3 linked regions of the Elephas maximus indicus genome follow. The protein of the gene in region 2 interacts with the protein of the main gene of each other region in a pairwise test. Links are inferred from orthologs where the notes say so. Each region holds a gene or a part of one and is shown on either strand. Other genes may lie near its edges.

The links. The genes of interacting proteins can lie anywhere in the genome.
Region 1: the proteins of NGLY1 (region 2) and UBXN2B interact in binary tests that used the Homo sapiens proteins (3 or more experiments, as listed by UniProt). The two-hybrid records come from large-scale screens. The link is inferred for Elephas maximus indicus from reciprocal best matches to the Homo sapiens genes NGLY1 and UBXN2B.
Region 3: the proteins of NGLY1 (region 2) and GUCD1 interact in binary tests that used the Homo sapiens proteins (3 or more experiments, as listed by UniProt). The two-hybrid records come from large-scale screens. The link is inferred for Elephas maximus indicus from reciprocal best matches to the Homo sapiens genes NGLY1 and GUCD1.

Annotation. Positions count from the first base shown.
Region 1 is NC_064837.1:73,906,693-73,910,439, forward strand, and holds the start of UBXN2B (UBX domain-containing protein 2B), read right to left. Parts: upstream 2,933-3,747; 5' UTR 2,883-2,932; coding exon 2,799-2,882; exon of another isoform or gene 1-2,798. UniProt on the Homo sapiens protein: Adapter protein required for Golgi and endoplasmic reticulum biogenesis. Involved in Golgi and endoplasmic reticulum maintenance during interphase and in their reassembly at the end of mitosis.
Region 2 is NC_064845.1:13,770,797-13,774,543, forward strand, and holds the start of NGLY1 (peptide-N(4)-(N-acetyl-beta-glucosaminyl)asparagine amidase), read left to right. Parts: upstream 1-990; 5' UTR 991-1,084; coding exon 1,085-1,215; intron 1,216-3,747. UniProt on the Homo sapiens protein: Specifically deglycosylates the denatured form of N-linked glycoproteins in the cytoplasm and assists their proteasome-mediated degradation. Cleaves the beta-aspartyl-glucosamine (GlcNAc) of the glycan and the amide side chain of Asn, converting Asn to Asp.
Region 3 is NC_064840.1:23,014,179-23,017,925, reverse strand, and holds the start of GUCD1 (protein GUCD1), read right to left. Parts: upstream 2,266-3,747; 5' UTR 2,222-2,265; coding exon 2,011-2,221; intron 1,633-2,010; exon of another isoform or gene 1,474-1,632; coding exon of another isoform or gene 1,431-1,473; intron 1-1,430.

The DNA.
Region 1 (3,747 bases), on a different chromosome or scaffold from region 2:
ACAAAAAATCCCTACCTTCAAATTTATGGTGGGAACAAAGGCAGCCTCACAATTAACACCTACCAGAATATTTGGAAACATTAATAACATATTGATCTAATGGATTCTAAGTTTGTAAACAATTTGCCTGGTATCGGGTAGTCATTAACCAAGTTGTTCTCATTTTTCACATGAAAGGAAGAAATGAATTAAAATTAGAGAAAATGATATTAAATTGTTGTTGTTAGGTGCCCTGGAATTGGTTCTGACTCACACTGACCCTATGTACAACAGAAGGAAACACTGCCTGGTCCTGTGTCATCCTCACAATTGTTGTTATGCTTGAGTCCACTGTTGCAGCCACTGTGCCGTCCTCTTTTTCACTGACCTACTTTACCAAGCAGTATGTCCTTCTCCAGGAACTGATCCCTCCTGATAACATGTCCAAAGTATGAGAGACACAGTCTTGCCATCCTTACTTCTAAGGAGCATTCTGATTGTATTTCTTCCAGGACAGATTTTTTCATTCTTTTGGCAGACCACATTCTTCTCCAAGGCCACAACTGAAAGGCATCAATTCTCTTCCAGTCCTCCTTATTCACTGTCCAGCTTTCACATGCGTAGGAGGTAACTGACAACAGCATGGCTTGGGTCAGGCACACCTTAGCTTTCCAGGTGAGGACTTTGTTTTTGAACACTTTAAAGAGGTCTTTTATAGCAGATTTGTCTAATGCAATGCGTCATTTGACTTCTTGACTGCCAGTTTTAATTTTAATTTTAATGGTATTAGAATCCACCAAAGTCCACCCCAAGTCCCTGGGTTGGGCAAACAGTTAAGTGCTTGACTACTAGCCAAAAGGTTTGTGGTTAAACCCACCTAGAGCAGTCTCAGGGAACAGGCCTAGTGATCTGCATTTGAAAACCCTATGGAGCAGTTCTACGCCGCACCCATGAGGTCTCCATGGGTCAGAATCCACCTGACTGGATGGTAACTAACCACAGAGACCACCCAGGAGTGCCTCAGAAGGAAGGTCTGGCAATCTACTTCTGAAAAATCAGCCACTGGAAACCCTATGGAGCACTGAACTACTCTGACACACACAGGGTTGCTATGAGTCAGAACAGACTGGATGGCAACTGGTGGTGCTAACCTGTGAAAGTTACAGCATTTTCTTCCCTTGAGGGAAAAAAGGAACCAGACATTTATCAAGCAAGTACTGTGCTAGGATAATACAGGGATTGCGCACGGGCGCTTTACAGATATTACTTTATTTAATCCTTACACCACTACCATCAACAGCACCTCCAGTTTATAAATGAGAACAATGAGGACCAGAAAGGTTAAGAAATTTTCCTAAGTACACTTAACTACTAAGTGGTGGGACCAAAATGCACGTGCATTCTGACCACACCCATTTTTTCCCAAGGCCCCAGGCTGCCTCTTTAGTGATGCCTGTAACAGAAAGGAGCCCTCCTTGCAGTGGTTAAGTGCTCTGTTGCTAACCAAAGGTCGCCCCCATCAGCTGTTCTGTGGGAGAAAGATGTGGCAGTCTGCTTCCTCAAGAATTACGGCCTTAGAAACCCTATGGCGCAGCTCTACTGTGTCCTATCAAGTTGCCATGGGTCGGAATCAACTGGACAACAATGGGAGAAGGTCTATAATAGAAATAAGGTAGATGACAGCTTCCTGTTCCTTGATGCTGTTTACTACTACTCAGTTAACTTACAGGCACCGGAACTGTTTTACATCTGGTTCATCTCTAACCTTACACTGATCTCTCCATTCACCAAATTACTCATTTATGTACTGCTTATTTTGGCATTCAATCATACTCCATTCTAAAATATGTTAAATGAATTCATACCCCATTTCTCCAAAAAGTTCGCAAGCTTTCAAAAGGTAGAAAGAACTTTTAGACGTCTTCTGTTTGCCCAAAGTGTTCAGCACTGACTGTGGATTCGATGTCCTACTTATCTTTGCATTGCCCGAGTTAGACAGTATGTTGTTATACGGAAGGTGGTCAATATGTTTGTTTAAAGACGAGGAATGAAGGTGTGACCATAAAGTAATAGGACTGTAGTATGGAGCCTTGTGGATTCTCCTTTTTTTAAAATTATAGCTACTTACAGACCTTCACTTGTTCAATTTTATCAACGATCCCATAAGGAGATAGAAAAAAGACCTAAAATCATCACGTAAAGCAGTATTCGGTGCACTGCTATTTAGCTAACAAACGTGTCCTATAACATTATAAAGTTATATTTCTTCGTCTCTTTATACGGAATGTTTTACAGATTGTAGCTTCAAAATCTAGGCTGTACTGTAGGGTGAAAACGTTTAATTCACCCCCTTGAAACATAAAAGCTAAATGACAAAAAGGAATTATTTATATACACATGTCATCAGGTCAGAAACCGCATCCAGGACCAGAGCGGACAGACCTGCCCACCGGCTCCCACGTTTGAAGTCTCCGTTGATTCCCCAACGTCGATAATAAAAACTTCCTCCGCACGAAATCACCGGAAACACAAACGGGGGGGGGAGGACAGCACAAACGGCCCCACAAAACGCCATTCTAAACTGAATTGCTTGTTAGTTTCAGCAAATTGTAAAATGGGGTGGAGGGGAAGGGAGACACCGGTAGAAGACGGATTCCGGCACCTGTCTCCACAGCCACCCCCGCGCGATGCACGCCTCGGGGAGACGCAGCGCCGGCGCCAGGTTCTGCCCCCACAAGGAGCCTGAGGGGACCTCAGCCGAGGCCAGAGGCGGCCTTTGACGCGCGCCCGCCGTCCCTGCCCTCGGCCTCCCGCCGCACCTGCAAGTCCCGCGCGCTCGGGGGCCGCGGCACAGAAGCCCGTCTCGCCTGCTCGCCGTGCTCCGCGCCGCCACCCTCCGCCATCTTCCGCCGGCCGTCGGCAACCCCCCCCAGACGCGCCTCCCCGGGATTTCCGGGACGGTTGCCGGGCAACGGCGGGGGCGGAGCTACGCAGCAAGGCCGGCGGAGGAGGGGGCGGATCCGCTCTTGGCCGCGCCGCGCCCCTGTGTGGCCGCCGAATCCCCCTCCCATCGCGCGCCGGGGCAAGTTGGCGGCGATTTAGGGTTAGCCTCTCCTTTCGTGTTCCCCCCGCCGGAGGCTTGAGCCGGTGTAAACCGCCGCGGAGGGCAGTTACTGACCCCGGGGGGCAGCAGAGGCTCGCAGGGTCAGTGAACTCATCCATGAAAACTTCCCTGAATGTTTTAGCTGATGAAACGTGCAACCCCACCTTTCTAGCCTTGTTCTCTTCCCGGTCAAGATCCAGGTAAGCCCATCACCCCCAAAGCATAGAATTGAGGGTGAGAGCACCGTAAAGGCTCTTTGCAACCAGAACTAGAGACTCCTAAGCCCTCTTCATTCCACCGAGATTTAAACTCCTTTTTTTTTTTTTTATTCTAGGCACTGTTGCGCCCCGAGAATGCAAGGGTTGGGAGCAGAGAGATGTAAACAAATAATAAAGTGCGATTTCCAGTCGAGCTTTGCAGGAAGGGTTGTGAAAAGAATGTGTGAAGGGGAATATTCTGTTGGTGCCTGCTATGTGCACCATGCTAGGTGCATTACATGTGTTATATATCCCGCTGCCAGTAATTATTGTCATCGTGTTATTCGTAAAGAAACCACATGGTAAATAATTGACTAAGTTCACACTGTAGTAAATGTCATTACCAGATACTAAACCTTGCTTATGTTGTTGACCTGTTACTCTTATTTATACAACATTCTGCCCTAT
Region 2 (3,747 bases):
TTACGGGTAGCTTACTAGTAGCATAGCTACTACAGATACTGATATTTATGCGTTCCATTCCATGCCCCAGATAGAAATCAACATAGGAATGTTTTTGCAGATAAGGGTTCTTTGTGTCTGAAAAGTTTTCCATTAAACAAAGTTTTCAAGAAAAAAAGAACACACATAAGGTCAGGAAAAATATTTGCTGAGGTTTAGAAAGAAATTTCTGCAATTAAGGAAGCCATTTTTAATACTGATAAACACACTCTCCATGGCGCGATGGGGCAGATGCTGGATTAAAGAGGTTAAGGGTGCGAATTCTACCAGGGCTAAATGGCACATGATTTATTTGCGAAACAAAAGTCACAAAACAATATTTACCCTTAGTGGGTGGGATGCATAATTTTATTCTCTTCCTTCCCCATCTCCATCCTATGCTATTTTGCTGTTGTGTGTGCTTTTTATGCCGCTCACCACACAGTAAGTGGAGTCTACAACCTACTAATGGGTCATAGCCGTTTGAAAAGCTCTCTCATACAGCATTATCATACTGTCTGAGCAGGGATATATGTAAGAAATTTTCAATCACTCGCCTAATTCTAAAAGGAACCATTGTATTGGAAAACAGAAACATGAGTTTGACTGTGAACGTCTGTGGTTCCTTCCCTCCGGGGGCTTTCATCCATGTCTATCAAGTAGGGGCTGACAATCTGCTAGCAAGAGGCTGGAAGACTGTTTCATTGGGCGAGGCTGGGTGGAGATAAACGGGGTTTTCTCACCCGCGTGTCTGGATGAATTCAGACGGTCCTTAAGGCTCCCAGAAACCGGTGTTTCTTCGAAGGACAGGCCAGCACCTGGGCATCCCTGTCCCTCACGGCCAGCGTCCTCCTCCCCGCCTGACCGAGGCCCCGCCCCTGGCCGAGGCCCCGCCCCTGACCGAGGCCCCGCCCCCTGACCGGCCCCCGCCCCCGCCCCCGACCGCCGACCCCACCCCACCCCCAGCGACGCCCCCCGCCGGCTGCAGTGGCTGCCGCGCCCCGAGGCGCCTGCTCAGTTGCCGGACGCGGCGCGCGAGGGGCGGTGTCGCCGCGGCTGCTCCAGCATGGCGGCTGCGGCCCTGGGCAGCTCCTCGGGCTCCCCGTCCCCGGCCGTGGCTGAGCTCTGCCAGAACAGCCCGGAGACCTTTCTGGAGGCCTCCAAGCTGCTGCTCACCTACGCGGACAACATCCTCAGGTGCGCGGCGGGCGGGAGCGCCGGGGCGGCCGGGGCGCGGCGCCCGCTCGGCGCGGGTCTGGGGGCGCCCGACCCGGTCTCGGAGGGCGGCGGGGACCGGGGGGACCTGGCCTGGGGGTGGCGCCGCGCAGGAGCCCGCAGGCCGGGGCCCCGGGACCGCACAGGCCCCATCGTGCCCGAAAAGAGGAAGTTCCCTTTGCATGTGTGACTTGGCACCTGAGATCGGAGTGCACCGGGGTGCGCTGGAGGTCCCCGGTTGGGGCAAGGCGGCGGGGCGCGCCCAGGCACTTGCTTCTCACTCGGGTGTTTAACTAACTGTCTTAAATGCCAAGATATGAACAGTAATTGCGCTTCCGTGTCCGCTACGTGGACTCCTCGGAGCAGGGCGGCTTAAATACACACCTGCTTATCAGAAGTTAGTCATTGACAGCCTGGTGTTTTCTTCCCAACGCTTCGTAGATATCCTAAAGCATACTACTGAAGTTTCGTGTTTAATTTTAAGAGTTTTTTTTTTTTTTGGCCATTTTTGTTGGTTGAAACATTATTAACCATATTATTGTAAAGTTACACTTATCACATCAATATCTGAATTCTACTTTTCAGTATGACTCCCTAAATAAGTAAGAATTGGTGAAGGATAGGAGTGATTTGTTTCATTCACCTGTGAGTAAAAGTACACGTCTAGAGCTGACGTTTTAGGAATGGGGAGGCAAGTTGGCATGAAATCTAAAAACGAGTTGCTCTTCGTTTCAAGGCTATAGATTTTCTGTGACCCAATTTTAGAGACATTAGTTACAAGTGCAGTGTTTAATCCATGGCAGTAATAATACTGTTCATTTAGGTAATGTTAATGATTTTAAAGGTGTTTAGGGAAATTGCATTGAGCCCTTATTATGTGCCAGATATTCTGAGGGGTACACTATGTGCACTGTTTACAGCTACAGAATCATGACCTGTCTAGGGACCGCCTTCCTCCTCTGTGATACCTTCCCAACTCACCTCACTGAGAGGTCTTAGAGCTATTCAGAGCAGAAGGATGCCAGTGGGCTCTGCATGAATGAACTGGAGAGGCTGGGTTTTTCACAGCCCATCAGCTGGGCCTCCTGCCTGAAAAGCCACCCAACTATTTAAACCACACCAAGAAACCCTAGGGGGCAGTTCTCTGTCCTGCAGGGTCACTATGAATCAGAATGGACTCAATGGCACAGGGTTAATCCGAAAAGGGTGGTGGCCTTGTAGTGAGGACTCACTAGGTTTCGATTCTGTGAAACCAAAAATGCTGAGATCAAGGTACTTTGAGGAAGGAAACCCTCTGCATGCAAATAATGACTTTTGGCATCATAATCATCATTATGAATGTTAACCAAACCCCTGGAAGAGACTTGGCATGCTGTAGGTTCAAGTTATAGTCTTTACTGTGGCTTAGGTTTCTCCTCTTAAAGGCTTTTCTTTCCTGTTGCTTTTTTTGTTTGTTTGTTTGCTTCTTATTTATAAAGGGAATTAGGCATCTGGAACTCCTATAAAAAAGATGGTATGAAAAGAAACTGTCCTTTTTAGTTAAGATAGTAGTACCCCTGTCATCAAATTCTTAGAATTCAAATCCCTTCAGGCGTCAGGAGGAAAAACCATCTTTTCTTTCCTATCCAAACCCAGTGTCTTCCTAACCTCTAAACGGAAAAGCTCCGGATTCTTTTTTGGTCCCCAGTCAAGCAACAATAGAGATCTGCTAATTGAAAGTATTTGAGAATGGAGAAATCCAGGTTTTTCTGTTGCTTTTTTTGTGTGTGTGGTTTGGGGAAATCCACTAGTGTTAGAGGCAAGGAACTATATGTCTTCTCATCTTGATGACCCTCACTCCTGCTTCAGGGGAGAGCAAGAGCTGAAACATGAATTTTATTCGTTTTTTTTTTTTTTTTTTTAAGCAGTGATATTTGCCACTGTACACATTGAATTTCAAGTGAAAAGACTACTTTTGATTAAGTTTTTTAAAATGTCTGCCTCAAGTGACGTTTATCCTTCTCCCCAAATACCAATCATAAATCTAATGAACTTACAGAATAAAATATGTGTTAATTTGAATCCCCAGATTCCGTTAGTTTGGATCTTTTACCTCTTTTTCAGGCCATTGACTTACAGAGACAAGCTGTTCTCTATAATACCCGCTTCCACAAAAGCCTGTAACAGCATTTCTCTATCATTCCACATGAGTTCCTTCAGTAATTTGCTGCATTCATTCTTTAAACAATACATTAGATTTTCCACGAATTTCCTTTGCAAAGTGCACACAATTATTGATTCACAACTGGGTATGATTGGGAAGGGCCAAGAGTAGTACCTGGTTTCTTCCTTCAAAAAATATACATCTATTTGAGAGAAAGGCACAGGTATGGAAAATAACCAGAGCATAAAATCTAGAGAACAATTCCAAGACAGTGTTTAAGCACATTTATATTTATGTGAGGAGATAGCAGTGGGACCTAACACAGGTCAGGTTTGATAAGGTTGGACCTTGAGAAGTCGATGGACCAGTGG
Region 3 (3,747 bases), on a different chromosome or scaffold from region 2:
CTGCTTGTCACTGCAATGATTTCCTGCCCCCAGGCTTCCAGACCACTGCCCTCTGCTTAAGGCTGCCTCCCTACTTTGGTTGGCACCAGCTCTGGCCACACCAGCTAGGCCATCTGTGGCCAGACCTCCCCTGTGGCCATGCTTGGCAGCATTCTCTAGGGCCCTGGGAGTCTTAGCTACCCCTCCTCCTCATGCCCTGAGCTCCAGAACCCTTGATCCTGAGGCCCCAAAGGGCCAAAACCCCAGGTGGCTGTCCCCAGCCTTGGCCCAGGCAGGCCACTCTATAGAAAGCTGGAGGTGATTTTCTGCGTGTGGTGGGTGGAAGGATGATAAGGGCAGGCAAGACCTTGGTTTTTGTCCTGATAACAGCTTCAGCCCTTCAAGCCCACAGCCACTACCAGATGTTAATACATGGCACCAAGGAACACCCCAAGAGCTGGGCCTGCTTGGAGGGCCCTGGCATCAGCTGGCAGCTGTCATCAGAGAAGGGAGGGCGCTCAGTGGCCCTGGGTGCTCACCACCTCTCAGCCTCAGTCTGCTCATCTGTAAAACTGGGAATAACAGCAGCAGTAGCCTCCTTCATGAGGTCATCATGAGGATTAACGAGGTACTGCACATACACCACTCAGCACAGTTCCCACCTCATAGGAAACCCCCTATAAATATGAGCCGGGACTCGCTCAGGCTCAGGAAAGGCAATGTCCTGCCCAAGAGCGTAGCTGAGCTAACTGGAGAGCAGGGCCTACACTCTGCGGCAGCATCAGACCCCTGCTCCACCCTGCAATAACAAAGGCGACCCCTCCCTCGTGTGAGGACACCATCCATGACAGCTCAGGGCCAGTCCCATATGCTTTGGCCTCTCCCTGAGTTGGCACCTCTTCTCAGCAGAGCAGGAACCACCGCACTCCCCCACTATCCCCTTCTCAGACAAGCAAACTCAGGCCGCGGCACTGCCCCACCAGTAGTGGCCTCTGCTTCCCCAAAAGGCCCCCTTAGGGCAGAAGGAACCAAGGGTGAAGACATGTAGCAAGAAAAGAGCTGACCACAGTCTGAGAAGGGGAAGAGAAGGGGCGCACTCGCTCTGTGCTCCCGCCCAGTCCCCTGCCCTTCTCTGAGCCTCAGCGTCCTCCACAGTTCCCCGAGGGGACACATCTTCCACGCGTCTCCGGCTGGACTTCCCGCTTCTAGGCAAGGTGGCGCCCCGCCTCACAGCCGGGACCGGCCCCACCCCGCCCCACGGCCGGGCGACAGGGGCCTCAGCTCCGGGAGGACAATGAAACCCCGACTGGCAAGTGGGGCTGGGGCGGGGTGTCCAGCTGGCCCCGTCCCGTCCGAACTCCAGAGCGCTGCCCAGGCGGCAGTCCGCCCAAGGTCGCGCGGCCGGACCCTCGTCCCCCGGGGCCAGGGTTAGGCCCTGGGGAGGCACTGACCGGGTTCGAGCGGCGGTCCCGCTGCCTCCGCCTCCGTCCTCATGACCCGGGCGGCGCGGGGCGCCCATGGCCCCGACCTGGCGCAGGCTACCGCTCGGGCTGGGGCGGGAGCGCGGCGGCGGCGCGTCTGGTCCGCGGAGGGGACAGAAGGCGACGGTCCGCGGCCCCGAGCCCCGCCCCAGCCCTGCCTGGCAGCGGCCCCGGACGCCCCGCCCCCACCTGGGCCCCGGCTTGGAGGCCCAGTCCCTTCCGTTCCCCAGCCGCCTGATCGAAGCCTGCCCCGGCCATTCGCTGTCTCGCCTTCTCTTGACCCCGCCCCTTTCCCTAGCCCTTGCGCCGACGCACAGGCCCGTCCCCGCGGATCCCCGGAAGCCCCACCCCTTTCTTGGAGCCCCGCCCCGAAGGCTGGCGCTCTCCCTTAAGTCAGGCTCCGCCCCTGTGGGCCTCCCTCAGGTATAATCCCTGGCCTGCCCCTTGTTCCGCCGGGTCTCCAGGAGACCCAACCCTACTCCGACTACTCTATACCTCAGTTTCCCTGTCCATATAATGGATACCTCGCCTCGCTCGGGGCGCTCCTTACCGGGCGGTGCCGGGTTCCAACGGCTAACTTGCGAGGGCAGGTCCTGGCGCTTAGTCCCACAGCCTGCCGCCCCCGATCCGAGAGCCCAGGCCCCGCATCTCCGCCTTGCCGTCCAACTCGGCCTTGGTGTGGGGTGCCTGGAAGCGCGAGCTCCCCTTTCCCCTTGCCGGCCCGAGTATCGGTGTTTCCGGCGGCACCCAGGCCCTGTCATCAGCACGCTTTTTCGGGGCCGGAACTATAGTGCCACAGCCCGCGTTTCCCATCCGGTTGGGTGAGGAGGCAGCCGAGGCGAGACAGCGCCCACCACCGGAGAAAGGAAGGGGGCTGGCCTCGCGCGCGGCATTCTGGGAACGCGGGGTCTTCTGGGAGCGCGGGACCGCCATTCGCTCGCTCACGCTTTCGGTGCTGCTGAAGTCGCTTGTCCACGGAAGAAGTGGAAGAGGAGGCCGCAGCCGGTGAGGAGAGGCCGGGGACGGGTGACGGGAGGCCGAGGCTCCCGTGAGGGGCCGGGGCTGGGGAAGGACGCGCTGCCTTGAAGTTCTGCGGGCCCCTGGGAGGGAGGAGAGGGAGAAGCCCGGGGCAGTAGCGTCACCTCACTCGCGCCTGGAAGTGGGTTTATTGGCTCCTTCCAAAACTACATATTTATCCTTTTTGTACACCTCTCCATGTCATTGTTTTTTTTTTTCAGTATCCAGAAAATAATACTGGAATCGTTTCTGAGTGATTACCTCCTTTACCCCAAATCTTGTTTGGAGCTTCCTTTTCAAGGTTTTTTCACTTCGGATCATCTCCTGCTTTCCACGCTGTTGCAGAAGTTTTAAATGCTGCTACGTGTTCATTGGGTCATTTCTTCGCATGATTCTGCAGTGGTTCTCTCTGTCTTCAGCATAAAATCCAAACCCCTAAAGCTAGAACTCAGGGATTCTCACCAAAGGAAACCAACTTTTCCAACTTCATGGTCCCTTTCCGGGGTAGCGTTGAGTCTCCTGGAATCCCTTTCTGTTCTAGTCTTCAGCCTTTGTTCATTGCAGATTAAAAATGTTTGATGCTTTTTTCTTTTAATAGGTCCAGTCAGGTGCTTGCCCTGGTTGGCTTTTTTCTATAAGATAAACCTTTTTGCTTATAGCATGTCACTTTGTGAACTCTTCGATATTTTCTTTTTAGCTTCAGTGGTGATGTAAATGGGGTGCCATGGGACACTAAATAGATTGACTTAAAAGCATAACTTCCTCCTAAATTTGTTGGTGGATCTTTTGGTCTGCGTTGTCCACTGTGGTAACCACTAGGCACCTGTGGCGTTTTGAGCACTTGAAGTATTGCTAATGTGACTGAGGAACTGAAATTTTAGTCGTATTTCATCTTTTTAAAGTTCTAAGTAGCTACATGTGGACTGTGGCCACTGTATTGGGCAGCTTGGGTCTGTATCGTAGGTTCTCAAAGTGCAGTCGCCCACAGCAGTGAGTTGGCAGGTACGTTTGTACAGTACATGCATTCACTCCCCTCCCTCCTGTAATATTGGCTAATGGTCATTTGGAGAAGATAAAGCGATCTGGTAGTGAGGAGGGAGACGGGAGGCACTCTCTTCATTCCCCTTAGCCTTTTCTGCCCAGCCCCACTTTTCACCCTACCCCTCATCTTGCACTGTTTGCCAGATAGTTTTTTCCAAAGGAGCTAAACACCTTTTTCAATAGCTCAGGAAATACAGCTAAGTTTTATGGAGTGCCAGACCCTGGTGGT